Linked DNA regions of Mytilus edulis. The protein of the gene in region 2 purifies or fractionates together with the protein of the main gene of each other region. This does not show direct contact. Links are inferred from orthologs where the notes say so. Each region holds a gene or a part of one and is shown on either strand. Other genes may lie near its edges.

Region 1 (8,008 bases), on a different chromosome or scaffold from region 2:
ACCAGGTTTTTCATCAGTTATTTCCCCTTCCTTCTCTTCATCAGATTCCTCAATATTGAGTCCAAGCTTTTTCTTCAAAGATTTCTCTTTTGCTTTCAAGGTCATCAATTGGTTTGACTGAAACAAAACGAATTTGATTTTTTTCTAAAGAGTTAAGAATGCACAATTGTTCTAATTCTATACCTCAGTCAACCAAATTCTAGCATTTAATAAGATAGAAAATTATTTAAATTTTCTGCATCACAAAGAATATAAAATATAGCAAACACAAAAGGAATGTAGTTTAATTGTTTCAATTGTGAAAAGTTCATTTACACTTTTACAATAACATGAAACCAGATGCTTCGCAGGGCGTAGCTTTATACGACCGCAGAGGTTGAACCCTGAACGGTTAGGGCAAGTATGGACACAACATTCAAGCTGGATTCAGCTCTAAATTTGGATTGTGATTAAATAGTTGACACAGCATAGGTTTCTGACACAGAATGAATGTGTTCTAATGAACTTAAAATTTTTGTTTCTCTTAGAGCAATTCACTATGCTGTTGAATATTAATCCTCTCAAAAAAATGTTTGAAGAAATTTTCATTTTTATTTATGAAATTTCAAATGAGAAAAATTGAACCCATTTTTTTTAATCACATCCCCCTTTCCCTTATTCCAAAACTAATCTCAATTAAAATTTCTAATGGAGTTTGCAACAATAACTACTCATTTAAATACATCATAAAATATTAAGATGTAAAAAAACTGCTTGTTATCACTGAATGGTAAAGATTATTTTAATTTATCAGTTGGTAGTAAAAAGTGAATATACATTGTATATTGTATATAACAAAGATTTAAGTTGATTCTGGACAAAGAAAGATAACTCCAATTAAAAAAAAATCTTGCTATTGCACAATATTTTGCAATTAGATATTTCTTGCTTACTATTCTGGACAAAGAAAGATAACTCTAATTAAAAAAAAAATTTGCTATTTCACAATATTTGTGCAATTAGATATTTCTTGCCATTGCGCAATACTGTGCAATTGAAAAGACTTGCTATTGCACAATACTTAATATAATAATTTTAGATCCTGATTTGGACCAACTTGAAAACTGGGCCCATAATAAAAAATCTAAGTACATTTTTGGATTCAGCATATCAAAGAACTTCAAGATTTCAATTTTTGTTAAAATCAGACTAAGTTTAATTTTGGACCCTTTGGACTTTAGTGTAGACCAATTTGAAAACAGGACCAAAAATGAAGAATCTACATACACAGTTAGATTTGGTATATCAAAGAACCCCATTTATTCAATTTTTGATGAAATCAAACAAAGTTTAATTTTGGACCCCGATTTGGACCAACTTGAAAACTGGGCCAATAATCAAGAATCTAAGTACATTTTTAGATTCAGCATATCAAAGAACCTAACTGATTCATTTTTTGTCAAAATCAAACTAAGTTTAATTTTGGACCCTTTGGACCTTAATGTAGACCAATTTGAAAACGGGACCAAAAGTTAAGAATCTACATACACAGTCATGACAGTTAGATTCAGCATATCAAAGAACCCCAATTATTCAATTTTGATGAAATCAAACAAAAGTTTAATTTTGGACCCTTTGGGCCCCTTATTATGTTGGGACCAAAACTCCCAAAATCAAACCCAACCTTTCTTTTATGGTCATAAACCTTGTGTTTAAATTTCATAGATTTCTATTTACTTATACTAACGTTATGGTGCAAAAACCAAGAAAAATGCTTATTTGGGTCCCTTTTTGGCCCCTAATTCCTAAACTGTTGGGACCTAAACTCCCAAAATCAATACCAACCTTCCTTTTGTAGTCATTAACATTGTGTTTAAATTTCATTGATTTCTATTTACTTAAACTAATGTTATTGTGCGAAAACCAAGAATAATGCTTATTTGGGCCCTTTTTTGGCCCCTAATTCCTAAACTGTTGAGACCAAAACTCCCAAAATCAATCCCAACCGTTCTTTTGTGGTCATAAACCTTGTGTCAAAATTTCATAGATTTCTATTAACTTAAACTAAAGTTATAGTGCGAAAACCAAGAAAATGCTTATTTGGGCCCTTTTTGGCCCCTAATTCCTAAAATGTTGGGACCAAAACTCCCAAAATCAATACAAACCTTCCTTTTGTGGTCATAAACCTTGTGTTAAAATTTCATAGGTTTCCATTCACTTTTACTAAAGTTAGAGTGCGAAAACTAAAAGTATTCGGACGCCGGACGACGACGACGACGACGACGACGACGACGACGACGACGACGCCGACATGATATTTTTTCAAAATTTGCGGTCGTATAAAAATGGTATACTCAGTTTTAATAGGGGAAGTCAAATATTAGAGGTTGGTGTGTTTTATATTTTAAAAAAGAATTGTAAGTTATTCCTGTTATCGTGAAAGATTTGGAAATTGGAACTAGAAAAAAGTATTTCAGTAACAGTCTACCTTATTTTCCTTCTGTTTCTTTACAGTTAACAATCTTTTCTGTACAAAAGCAGATGTGATGCCAGTATTCAGGGAAGATAAAACTGTGGTCACCTGCTTCAACTCTTTTTCAACATTCCTGAAATAATAATTGACACAATTGTATACATAAATATCATATTTTCAAAATTTCAGGTACTGCTAATATTATTTCAATATTCTGTACATCCATTATAATGAATATGTATTATCACAGATGCATTACCTTTATAAATATATAATTATTACAGTTTGTGTGCATAAAATCTGTCTTATTCAACAAAGTGTTGTGCAAATTTTTCTGTTTAAAAAAATGTTTAGAACCATATGGAAATTTCATTCACTGATTCAGATTAACTTCTTGTTACCCATTTTGTTTGTCTTGCTAACTTACTTTATGTCAAATTCAACAGCCCTAAGATCTTTCTCTAAAACTTTTTTGTTCCTGTCTTCCTCTTCCTTTGCTAACACCTCTCCTACTTGTGCCATAACACCTGAAGTAAAAAATATAATTCACAGAAACATCTACATTTATATTTACTTACATTTTCATATACCGGTATTTCAATTTTCAAAGATTTCCCAAAATCCTTTTGTCAATCTGATGAATTATAAACAAGAACCAAACATATCTCTATGAGTTCCATATAAGAAAAAAAAATATCCATTCTTGATGCCAAAAAATAAAGCAATAATTTGATTTTACATGCAAATACCTTCTTCAAAATCCTCTTGGTTAAATACATCTAGTCCTAAGTTTTTAAGTTCATCAAAAGCTTGGTCATCTAACTGTGCAACAGGTATTAAATCTCTGTTGACATGGAAGCTTTTAGCTTTCTCTTTCTCTATTGGATCTTGATGCTGATCTGTCTCCATGGCTGATGGCTCATCTAAATCTCCAGAAATAATTTTCTTATCCATATTGGATATCTGTATATTATATAAAATCTGTAAAATAAAAAAGAATGAACTGAATAAACATTTTATCTGATACAAAAGATGCTATGATAACTAAAACTCCTGATAGTTTAAGTGTTTTGAATTTTAGGATAATTTAGGTTAAGTTGAACAAAAGTGTCTTTTATTTTGCAAAATTTCATCTTTTAAATATTCGAAGAGTTCTACTATGTGTGAACTTTTTTAAACTGTTATTGCTTTTTAATAAGTATGAACCTTTTACACCTTAAAATTGTATATGTTATTTGAATTTCCAATTTTGCTTTTGGATGCAAAACGAATGTTAGTACTTGATTTCTTAGTCCCATTTTGTTTATTTTAGTGCCATTTTTTTTTTGCTATAAATTGTCAAACTATAATGAAGCGGTACCCTGAAACCAGTCAGCAGCGGCAGCTCATCATGAGTAACAGAACTATAAAATGATTAATATATGGCACTGAAAGTAGTTACCTTGATTTTTAAATTGACAGGCTAGTTCTTTTATTTTCTGTATTTGTTTTAGTAGATTTATTTAATATAGAAGAGAAAAGTATCTTTTGTTTTTTACATTATTTGCTAGTTAAAATATTTAGACGTAGAAGATTTTTTTGAAGTCATGATCAGTGCACACACATTTCAGGTTACATAGAGGGTGGTAAAGGGTTAATTTTTCATGCAATGCTTTCAGCCTTTTCACTTCACATGTTTTCCTGTTTGACGTTTTATTTCTTGTTTTTTCATGTTTTTCTTAATTTATTTTCTGTGTTTTGTGTCAGCATGGTTAGTATTCTTAATTTCTCGTGCTTATCCCGCAATTGATTAAAAAGTAAACCCCTGACTAATTGAAATTCAGCCTGGACATTGTTTTGAATAAACTAATTAGCTGGGTCCCAAGATATTTATTGCTCTCTTTATTAATAGCCTATTGTTTTACTTAGAATAATATCTTTTCAAATCGGACGCTAAGTCTCAGAGGTAACCACAGGGTCTTCATGTCCATTAACTATGAATGTTTGATCTCCAAGAACAGCCAAGTAATACCTTTTGGTACTTTTTTCGTTTTTCTCCAATATTTTTCCGTGGAACGTTTTTGTGATTTTTATTTCACATGTTTCGGCACCTTTACATCCCTCTACATAAGTTCTGTGTAGCTTTTATTTGACACACCTAATTACAATTTAAACACATAGGCCTATATTTTCTGATAAGTTTAACAGTAAAATGTATCTAAAACATAACAACAAAAGATAAACTGCAACTGGTTAAAATTATTAAACTGAATGAAAACATTTTATTACAAAGACCGATCTTTAATCTCTTAATTACCAATTATTTGATCTCAAAGTAATCAATTTACTCAGAGATTTTATAAACAGACTTATCCCATCACTAACATCAGCACATTTTGAAAAACATTACACAACTTCATCTCCATGTCCTAAGGGGCATGATTTTATATTTTATTACACTCTGAAATAATGCTATTCTAATAATATTCGATGTCTCAAAAATAAATGAAACTTTTTAGATGCAATGAAGTTGTACTTAAAGAGTTGATAAATTTTGAAATAGATAATTAAATTGATTTATTTACAAGGATAGAAGCACCGGAAGTTCATTTTGTAAACAACAACAATGGCGACTGTACAGGTTCTATGTCCAAACGGAAGACGACAAAATGTGAAAATTACACCAAATACTAAGTTGCTACAGGTATGAGGACCATATAGAATTCAAAAACTGATTATGTTCATAGTAAATTAGTGGTCTTTTTCAAATGTCAGTCTTTCCAACGCACACATTTAGTCATTTACAAATTGCAAGTCATGCACATTTTTTTCGGACACCGCACCGGTAAAAGTAAAAAAGTAAAACAAAATTACCGAACTGCATGGTTTCCTAAAAAAGAGAAAGTATATTAAAACCAAATCAATCGTTGTCAACCAGAAACGAGTGAAAATACAACTCTCATATTTCTAAGTTGGTACAATCATAATTTTCCTAAAGCTATGACACATCTATTCAGCGCCACCATATGCAATTTGGTCAAATAGTAGGTAATCTGTGATCGTCCTTCGACAGTTGAATGATATTTTGAACATTGTGGTGCTGTTGTGTGTTGTGGGACAAAAATTGGACATGAACCTTTTTTGATCTACGATTTTTTGTTGTGTCAACTGTCTTGTGGCTGTCTTGAGAGTGTCTTACCAAAGTCTTACCACTGTTGTGCGATAAACACATTGTCCTGGGTACCAATATAAACCATTTTATTAAAACAATTGTAAGACTGTCGCAAAACTGTCGTACAGCAATCTCACGACTGTTGCAAGCCGGTCTCACTAATTAGCGACAAGAAGAATTATTTTAGTGACAAGAAGCGACAAGAAACTATTTTAAGCGACAAGAAAATATTTTTTTTTTTATTAAAATTACTTATTCCGAATAAATATTAAAAGAATATGCAAAAGAAAACAATTTTAGCGACAAGAAATTTAATATTGATAAAAAAAAAATTAAAACATTTATTTACATGATATTTTATCATTTATTATGTTTAACAGCAAGTATTACGTTTACCCTGTCGTATTAGGATATTACTTTTACCAGAGCCATGTATACACATATGTCTCAGCTTTTACTTGTGTTTTAAAACAATAATATATATTTATCTTATAATTTTTTTTTAAAACTCTCTTTGTACAATATATATAATAAACTTTCAGAAAATACAGACACAAATTGTGAAATACAAATAACTGAAATCAAACAAGAGGAAAAGAAAATTAAAATGTGAATATTTTTCATCATTTTATTTTGTTTATTGCCTCATTACACGATATTTATCATGTTTATGTATATTGATTGAAGATTAAAGGAAATTAATGACAATCTTGAGTTTTCAATAGGTGTTCACTATTTACAATGATTGTATATTCTGACGCGTGTACAAAGTTGAAGGTGTTAATTGGATGTTATTGTGGCAATAAAACAAGGAACACGTGCCTCGATTTCTTCATCTATTAATAAAAAAATATCAATTTATTTCTGCTTGTATATTTAAAAAAAAAATGCATATTTCTTTATATTTAATAATAAAAATGTTTTCTTGTTGCTAAATAGTCTTCTTGTCGCTTCTTGTCGCTAAAATTATTCTTCTTGACGCTTCTTGTCACTAATTAGTGAGACCCTTGCAAGCCAACCGTGATACAGTCGCTGTCACACAATTGTCTCACGAATACCAAATTTTGTATGATGCTCACAAAACATTGATTGTCTGTCTTAAGACAGTAGTAAGTTCGTCTTGCAACATATTTTTATTTTTATTTAGAAGAATACAACTTGGCGGGAATAAATGTTTGGAAAAAATATACCGTCTGCCATATAAAGAGGATGGCTATTCCACCAGAACGATAATGCTTGGCCCTGCTGAATAGGCCCCTTGCCGGACTCCAACAAGAGCAAAATATGGTCCTGTTATTGTTGATTTAAGCCTGTTAACAGTGTAGAAAACACCGAATGCATCATCAAGGGTCGACTGTGAGGCTGCTGCACCCCTCTTGAGTCTGGACTGAAGCTGACCAATGGTCCATGACCCTGCGCTATATGGCCACAGGGAACAGTTACAGCAGCCTAATATTCTCCTTTCGTGTCCCCACAACACCATCTCAGGGTTCATTCCGAAGGTTGCGCAGGCTATCATTGATGAATATCTTGGCGAGACGATGCAGACCCCAAGCACACCATGGATGGTGTCAAGTGGCAGACAGATTTTGAGCTCGCAGGAATTATCCCCATGGCAAACATGTGGCTATCAAGGCATCAAAGAACATCAGAACCAAGCACTACATTTACAAGGGTTACTTTTCTATAGTCCTGCTTTGAGTGGTCGACAGTAGCTACAAGTTTCTGTGAGCAGACGTTGGGGCAGAGGGATCTGCATTGGATGCAGGCATTTTCAACAATGGCCCACTAAGAGGTGACCTTGAAGAAAAACGACTGGGCTTCCCTGAACCTCTTCCTGGTGATGCCATATGTTTCCATATCCAAGTAGCCCTGTACTTCATGACATGAGGGTCATTGACGCTCTTCTGAAACTCTCTCTTTATATGTCGTAGGAGGTCTACATGCTTTTGTACCTCTTGCCTATCCTGATCCCTGTAACAAAAGGAAAACATATCAAAACGCATTTCACACACTGGAATAACATTTGAATTTTATACGACCGCAAATATTAAAAAAAATTTAGTCGTTTATTGGTATCACGTCTTCGCCGTCGTCGTTAGCGTTTTTCGAAGACGGATTGTTTCCGGATAATAACTTTTGATTAAGTTACCGAAATCAATAAAATTTTAACACAATGTTTATAACCACAAAAGGAAGCTTGGGATTGATTTTGGGGGTTATGGTCCTTAATAGTTTAGGAATTAGGGGCCAAAAAGGGGGCCCAAAATAATCATTTTTGTAGTGGATGAATCTCTCTGAAATTATACCACAAGTTTCTATACCATGAAGGGATGGTTTGGTATTGACTTTTGGGGGTTATGGCTCAAAATGTTTCGGAATTAGGGGCAAAAAAGGGGAAAAAC
Region 2 (7,948 bases):
TAAACAGGAAATTGATAAAAATGACCACATTATTGATATTCATGTCAACACTGAAGTGTTGACTACTGGGCTGGTGATACCCTCGGGAACGAAACGACCACCAGCAGTGGCATCGACCCAGTGGTGTAAATAGTTATCAAAGGTACCAGGATTATAATTTAGTACACCAGACACGCATTTCGTCTACATACGACTCATCAGTGACACTCATATCAAAAAATTTATAAAGCCAAAGAAGTACAAAGTTGAAGAGCATTGAGGATCCAAAATTCCCAAAAGTTGTGCCAAATACGGCTAAGGTAATCTATGCCTGGGATAAGAAAATCCTTAGATTTTCGAAAAATTCAAAGTTTTGTAAACAGGAAATTGATAAAAATGACCACATTATTGTTATTCATGTCAACACCGAAGTGTTGACTACTGGGCTGGTGATACCCTCGGGGACCAAACGTCCACCAGTTTGATACAGATTTTTCGTAGGTAAGACGTTTCAACTGAGGTACTACACAAGCATTGAAAGGCTTCGTTATGGAGGAAAGGGTTAAACTATAATCATGACAATGGTTTATTTCTCTGATATCATATACATGTACAAAAAATTATTTGCCATGTTGAAGTTCCCCATATTATTTCTTTTTCATATATTAACAAAATCACAAAATGTAGGAATGTTAAAATCATAAAACTAACAGGTAAATTTCCAACCAATCATTACCTTGTTTAGATTGTTTCTCTTTCTGTTCCATTCTTGCCAGTGCTGCAGCTGCTGCCCGTTTCTTCTCCTCTGACACAGCAGCATCTCCCCTGGAAGAAATTGGTGGTTGACTACTGGTTCCTGGTTGTGGTACAGGTCTGTGTGTGGGTGGGGGTCTTTGTGCGGGCTCATCTAATTTATGTCCCTCACCATACTTTTTAAACTTAAAATCCATCTTCTTCTTCTGAAAAAACTTCTTTATGGCCGACATCTTGGTGTTTGGCTTTATTCCCTTTTTAAGTGAAGATCAGGCCTTACTGTAGTCCCAAATAAATCTGTTTTAAAATAATGATGATGAAATTACGGTATTATTTGCAATAATCACGATAATCCAACATTTATTGATTTTTACAAATGTAGTCCATTTCTTTTGCATGTTTAGCCTGGCATAACTTTTTACCCCCAATATACCCCCCTCCCCCCCAAAAAAATAAAGTTTCAACATAATGTGATTAAATAATAATGTTATTGCACATAGTGATACTTTTATTTTGTTCATGTTAATTTAACAAAAATATTTTTTAAATTTTATGAATATATATATTTAATTTTAAATCACTCTTTCCCTTGTAACTTGTTCCGTTAATGTCTGCCGCTTATGATCACAATATAACTTATTACCCCAATATACTCAAATAAAAAGTTTCAATATTATACAATTTTCATGTTATTGGCTCAATATTTAGTTAATTTTGTATATATATATATATATACATGTATTTCAAATGTTTCTACAATGTATCTTTCACTAAATCAGGACATTGGTCAGCTTAACCATTGTTAACATGAATAAACAATTAAACTGTGAGGAAACTGTTTGTTTGGGTATATTGGGGGTAAAAAGTAGAACCCTTAATAGGAGCCTGTTGTTCAGTGGTTGTCATATATATGTCATGTATGTTGGTGTGATTCATAGGTACATTTTATTTCTTGTTCCTAGTTTTTTATAGATTAGACTGTTGGTATTCTTGTTTTATATATACAATGTACATGATATATGCTTGTCATTTTGGTGCCTATTGCAGCTTGCTATTAAGTGTGATGGATAGACAGCTGTCTCAATGGCACTCATACGACATTGTACAACATCTTTTTTTATGTTAAATATATATATTCGAGTGATCAATAACTGCGAAAATGTTTTCTCCATTGTACATGTTGTATGCTGAATACTCAATTTTTTCTCAAGTTTGCATTGATCTGTAGACCTAAAATTTCTATCTTGTAGGTCCTCCTTCATCAGAAGTGTTAGCTTATAGTTAACATATTGAAAATTGCATATCTCAGTGTTCTCCGCAGAATTTTCAAATAGCACTGTGGAAATGAACTAAGCACTGGTTTTCAAAAAGTAATCTAGTGGATGCAGTTTGAAGGTGAAGATAGACTGGTTATGTGTCTAATAATGTTGAAATGTTATAGATGAGATCACATGTGTCTACAATGAACTATTAATCAATTGAAACAAGCACTTGTGCCCAGCAGAAACATGTTATAGGGTAGCTTCATAACGAATAACAGTAAAAAATCTTGCCAAATGACTTTTAGGTACTTTTTAGTGCCTGAGAATAAAATGTACTTTCATTTTGACAATAAAAAAAAATACTGATTTTAACTATAAATCACAATAATCCTCTCCGATTTGACGCTTAGTAACGGTAGCAGAAAATGACTGTATGACAGATGTCTGTAAAGGGCATTCCTACCCTTTTAGTTTTATGGTTAAATGAAACAAATTCAATAAAAAATGTATGTACATTTATGTTATGGACAGATCATATGTTTTCGTACGTCATATGAATTTGTACTATGCATGCTTTTTCAATGGAAATTGTTACGTCACAATGCATTCTTAATAGTGCGAAAAATTGAGGCAAAGAGGATATAATAAAATTAGGAATCTACAGAAATTCTTTTTTTTGTTACTTACTAACCCTGTCTCAAAAACTTTTCACAAATGTGCTGCCCATACAATGACCATGCAATCTTTATAAGGATGACGTTGACCAATAACCAGGCTAATAAAAAGAGCAGTATGGTGCTTTGCACATCTCCAACATCAATTTTTAACCAGGATAAAATTTCGATTTTCACTTGCTGAAACACTGAACCGATATAGTCTGACGTAACTATATCTTTAAAATATGAATAGAATGTTTGGTCACTCATCACATGACAATTGTTAACAATTATGCTGCTGGCCCTGGCAAATAGCAAACTATTTATGACTGTGACAGTGTTTGCAAATCGAAACCGGTGTCAAGGGAAAATGGATCCGGAATTTTTAAACCGGAAGATCTTTTATAAGTTAATTCTCTAATAAAAAGTGTTCTGAATGGGAAAATGTCTTTCAAACAGAACATACTTGAACAATTCATTTTTAATTTAACTTGTTCAACCGTTATATGTTGGTTGCAATCGTTAAACAACAATCGGAAAATCGGAAAATGCAGCGCAAAACCGCATCCACACTGACTTCCGGGATAAATAATGACGTACAAACAAATGAAAACACTTGTGGTGCCGCTTGTGTATACATAGAAGAACCAGTCCATATCTTACAGTATGCCTAACAATACCTCTGGACGACTGACGTCACGAGGATTCTCTTCTACTTCCGTTTACTGTATTAACCACATGTATTATTATATTGCTGTCTACTGATTCATCAGATATACAGAGATTTACAGATATTAAAGGTATTCTGTTTATTACACATACACTTTACTTATTTGTACCATATCGGCACAACATTGGCGTCGTACGACAAAGAACGAATTATTTTTAGCAAGTGAGGCGGACTCCACGAGGGCGCCTTTGCAGATTTGAAAACTTTAGATGCTTCATTTTTTTGTAAATTTATTACGTAAGCATTGCAATAAATTTACTTCAAATTGATTGTAGATTAAATTGCATCAAATTTTTACAGTTTATCACGTATGAAATCTTCATATTTGATATTTTTCATCAGATAATACTAGGAGCTTCCGGTTATAGCCATTAGGTCCTTCTTCACGGAAGTCACTTGTCTGCATTACTACATTGCGCAGACGCAAACCGGAAACGGTCTTGATTTCAGTAACTTAGTTTCGTACATTATTTTACACTGAATTTAGACTGATATTTTATATTAAAGAAGGTATATACACTCATAAATATTTATGAACAAAATCTTATACACCGTATAATAAAGTACAGTGTGTCAGCTGAGTCTCTGTTCCAGTTCTGCCCTATTTTGTTGCCTGCATTTTTGAAATTGTAAAAGTAGTAGCTTTTATAAAAAAGCTGCATTGTTTATGTCTTGAATCGCATATAAAAGTTGTGATTTTGAGATTTATTTGCCTTGAGTAATTACTCAGTGCATATCATATTGTTTTGAGTTGCAGAATATTTCAATTTGAAATATTTTATTGTAATTTGAGAATAAATTGTGATATTCTATTAACAAGTTAAAGGACAAAATGGCAGGAATTGGGGATGATAATGAACTTAGTCAGAAGGAAAACCTTGATGAGTTGACACAGGTAGAGATATTAAGCAAAGAACAAATAGCTGACAACACTCTAACTGAACACAAAAACAACATACCATTAGAGCAGCTTTACCAAGAATTTAAGGAAGAGAGAAAGGCAAACGAAAAAAGAGCTGCTGAGATTGATAGCAGGGTTAAACAAAGCGAGGAACGCATTAACCAAATATTCAATGGTTTGTTGAATTTTAAAGCAGAACAAAAGGAAGCAATGAAAACTTGCTCAGAAAATATTGGAGCAATATCCCAGCAAGTCCAACAGTCGGAACATAGAATTGACCGGAAGATAGATGACAACGCTAAGCATTTAGAAGAATTAACATCTGAAAAGTTTAATGCCTTAGCAAGAAAGTTGGACAAAATGGATCCATCGGAGGAGGCGAGTACAGTCCAATTTAAGAGTGCCTTTGAGCAAACAGGATCATTTCAAGAGATGACATCAGTGGTTAGTGATTTGGTTACCAAGAGGAACAAAGAAGTCCAACTCCCACCTATGGATACCCCAGTGAAACAAAAAGTTGAACCCAGTCAATATATTGCCAGGACACAATTAATGCAAAATAAGCCTCCTGCTTTTGGCTTCTCAACAAGCAGTTCAATTGACCATACAACTACACTGCCTGAATCCAAAGCAGGTGTACTTCCACTTTCAAGTGCCAAAGGTAATGTGTTAGGGCCCTCGGCACTACACAACACAGTGTTGTTTCCACAGCCTCATGGCAACGACATGCTAGAAAGTGTTGGTACTGAGAAGGAAACTTATCACATGCAAGGTTCGCTGTCACTACCTAGTAGCAAGGGTAACGTGCCAGGGCCCTCTGCTCTGCACGGGACGACCTCAGGTATGCTAACACAGCCTCCATTCAAAGGCACAGATGGAGCATACACAGAATATAGACCCACATATTATACTACTCCAGCAATGGTTCCTTTAACATCGTCCTATGTTGGTACACCATATGTAGCTCAAGGTACACATGTTAGTAGTACACCATTACATATAAAACCAGCTGCAAGTAGCGAGTCACATGCAGCTTCCTTGGTGCTGAATAGACCAGCAATGTACGCTAATATGGAATCAATAGTACAACAACCCCCATTCGCGTTCATGACCCCTGTGATGACTACAGACCAGTCACCAAAGCAAATTGATAAAAGAAGGTCAAGATCGCGCATTAAAAAGGAACAGAAACGAAGCCATAGCTCTTCCTCAGATTCCTCTCTTGATAGGGAGTACTCAAGATGGCATGACAATTCTGGGGCTAGGGACAGAAGCAGAAGTCCTCAGCTTCCGAAGATGCAAGTCTTTACAGGAAGAGGATCCCTTAATTGGGAAGCATTTGTTTATCAATTTGAAAGGACTGCAGGCCGAAGACAGTGGGAGGATCGGAAGAAGGTTTGCAGACTGTTAGACTGTTTAGCAGATGTGGCATTAGAATATGCCCGCAAAGTTAATATCAGTGATGATTACAAGGCGCTACGAAAAGCCATTAAGCAACGTTTTAGCCGAAAGGATGAACCAGTTTCAGCAAGACGTCAGTTACAGTATTTAAGGCAACAGGACAGTGAAACCCTGGAAGAGTTTGCCGAACGTGTCCATTTTATAGCCATGGACGGATACAATAAATGTGACAACTCGGTTATTGATCAAATCGGTACAGAGGCATTTCTCAGAGGTTGCAAAGATAAGGAATCTGCCCGTCACGTAATAGAAGGAAATCCAGAGTCTATCAACAAGGCATTGAAACATATGAAAACGTCTATTGCAAACCAAAAAGCTATATATGGGTCAAGAAGTCCGAATTTTGCCCATCGACAAGTTTCATTTGCTAGCAGTATCAATAACTTGACTGACATAGTACATGTCGATCACAGCCCATTGGAGGATGAAGTACAAAACTTGACAGAGCTTGTGTCTAAATTATCAGATGTAATGCTTTCCTCAGATCAATCTGCGTCTAGAAGATCCCCAAAGTTCAATGTATATCGAACAATTACACCCCCACAAATTCAAAGGTCATATAGTCCTTCACAGCAACGATCACCATCACCAGGACCAAACTATAAGAATTCAGGATACCTCAGACAACAGTCTCCGTTATCCAATGGCAGTGTTAAGCATAGCCCTAATCCATCAGCTGAGTCTTTAAACATCAGCGGGAAGAGTGGGTAGGTCAACGCTCGACCCTTAATTCTGATGGCCAAAATGAAATGACAAATGACATATCAGAACAGAGGCCCACGGCCTCGTCTGATGTTGTTAGAAGTCGTGTTTTGACAGGAAGGGTTACATCGTTATATCCAAATGAAAGTATAATTGTGAAGAATGCATCGACAATAACACTGATGAACAATACATTAAGGCCAGCAGAGATAGGCTATGAAACTGTTACAGTGATATTTGGCTTAAGCAAGAAACTGGTTATTAGCCAAGTTGGAATGAAAACACCCCTGAATATTGATAGAATACATATATATTTGTGCATGACATTACTGCTGTCACGCTGTGAGGTTGAGTTTTCCTGGCACATGTACCTATGGGACATAACAGTCACTCAGAGATGCAATCTGGGGCCTTTGGCCTCGTTTGCATGTTTATTTATATAGGAACATTTATTGTATGGACTTTGTAAATATATTTGTTTTTACCAGGACGGTACTGCAATTTGTAAAAACGTTAATTGATTGTATTTATATTCTGCTACTTGTGAATCTGCTTGAATGTTCAAGGATGTTTCTAGTGGCATCCTGCACTTTGGGGTGCAAATGTAGAGGGTAACGTACTTATGTTTTCGGTAGTGTTTTACCTTGTTTTTTAGGTTTATTTTATAGTTTAAATATGTGACTGATTCTACATGAAGGGGACGAATGTGGTGCCGCTTGTGTATACATAGAAGAACCAGTCCATATCTTACAGTATGCCTAACAATACCTCTGGACGACTGACGTCACGAGGATTCTCTTCTACTTCCGTTTACTGTATTAACCACATGTATTATTATATTGCTGTCTACTGATTCATCAGATATACAGAGATTTACAGATATTAAAGGTATTCTGTTTATTACACATACACTTTACTTATTTGTACCATATCGGCACAACACACTGAACAGAAAATAATATTCAACTATGAACATATCTAATATGCTAGCAATCTCGATGTGCTTCTTATTTTTCAGTTAAGGAATAATGCATTCTTCAAAACAGACATGGCTTATATACTTTATTTTTGTTTATGTTACTGCTTGCATGGGAAACTTTGTAAAACCAAAACCAGCTGCTAATATAAATGAACCACAGCAAATCCACATTGGCTTTGGTCAGCGATTAACCGACATCATTATTTTATGGTCAACTAAAAACAATGATTCTTCAGTCGCAGAATATTATACAGGAAACACAAATTCAAAGGTATTCCAAAAGTATTTGTATTATACAGTTATCTTTTTTATAGTCATTCCGTACCAATACACCTTATCGCTAAACCCGGTTGACCCGGCCTCTTGAACTTTTGACGTCAAACTACAATCACTTTTCCATTGTGGCATCAGATATTTTGTTTTATGATGTCAAAATTTTACGGGAACCTGTGTGATATCCAGTAATGGCGGACAAATAGCGATAAGGTGTATAAAAGAGGGTGGTAATACACCTTATCGCTATTT

What was found. The genes of interacting proteins can lie anywhere in the genome.
Region 1: the proteins of UBX domain-containing protein 6-like (region 2) and tether containing UBX domain for GLUT4-like purify together in Homo sapiens (affinity purification with mass spectrometry; 4 studies listed by BioGRID and IntAct, counting the BioPlex papers as one, with this or other methods). This does not show direct contact. The link is inferred for Mytilus edulis from reciprocal best matches to the Homo sapiens genes UBXN6 and ASPSCR1.

What each region holds. Positions count from the first base shown.
Region 1 is NC_092352.1:39,217,994-39,226,001, forward strand, and holds the start of tether containing UBX domain for GLUT4-like, read left to right. Parts: upstream 1-5,002; 5' UTR 5,003-5,057; coding exon 5,058-5,135; intron 5,136-8,008. Other genes in the region: DNA excision repair protein ERCC-6-like, read right to left, coding at 3-117, 2,468-2,585, 2,880-2,979, 3,202-3,406. UniProt on the Homo sapiens protein: Tethering protein that sequesters GLUT4-containing vesicles in the cytoplasm in the absence of insulin. Modulates the amount of GLUT4 that is available at the cell surface. Enhances VCP methylation catalyzed by VCPKMT.
Region 2 is NC_092344.1:104,270,773-104,278,720, forward strand, and holds the start of UBX domain-containing protein 6-like, read right to left. Parts: upstream 3,024-7,948; 5' UTR 2,682-3,023; intron 1,030-2,681; 5' UTR 966-1,029; coding exon 716-965; intron 1-715. Other genes in the region: acid phosphatase type 7-like, read left to right, coding at 7,473-7,694. UniProt on the Homo sapiens protein: May negatively regulate the ATPase activity of VCP, an ATP-driven segregase that associates with different cofactors to control a wide variety of cellular processes.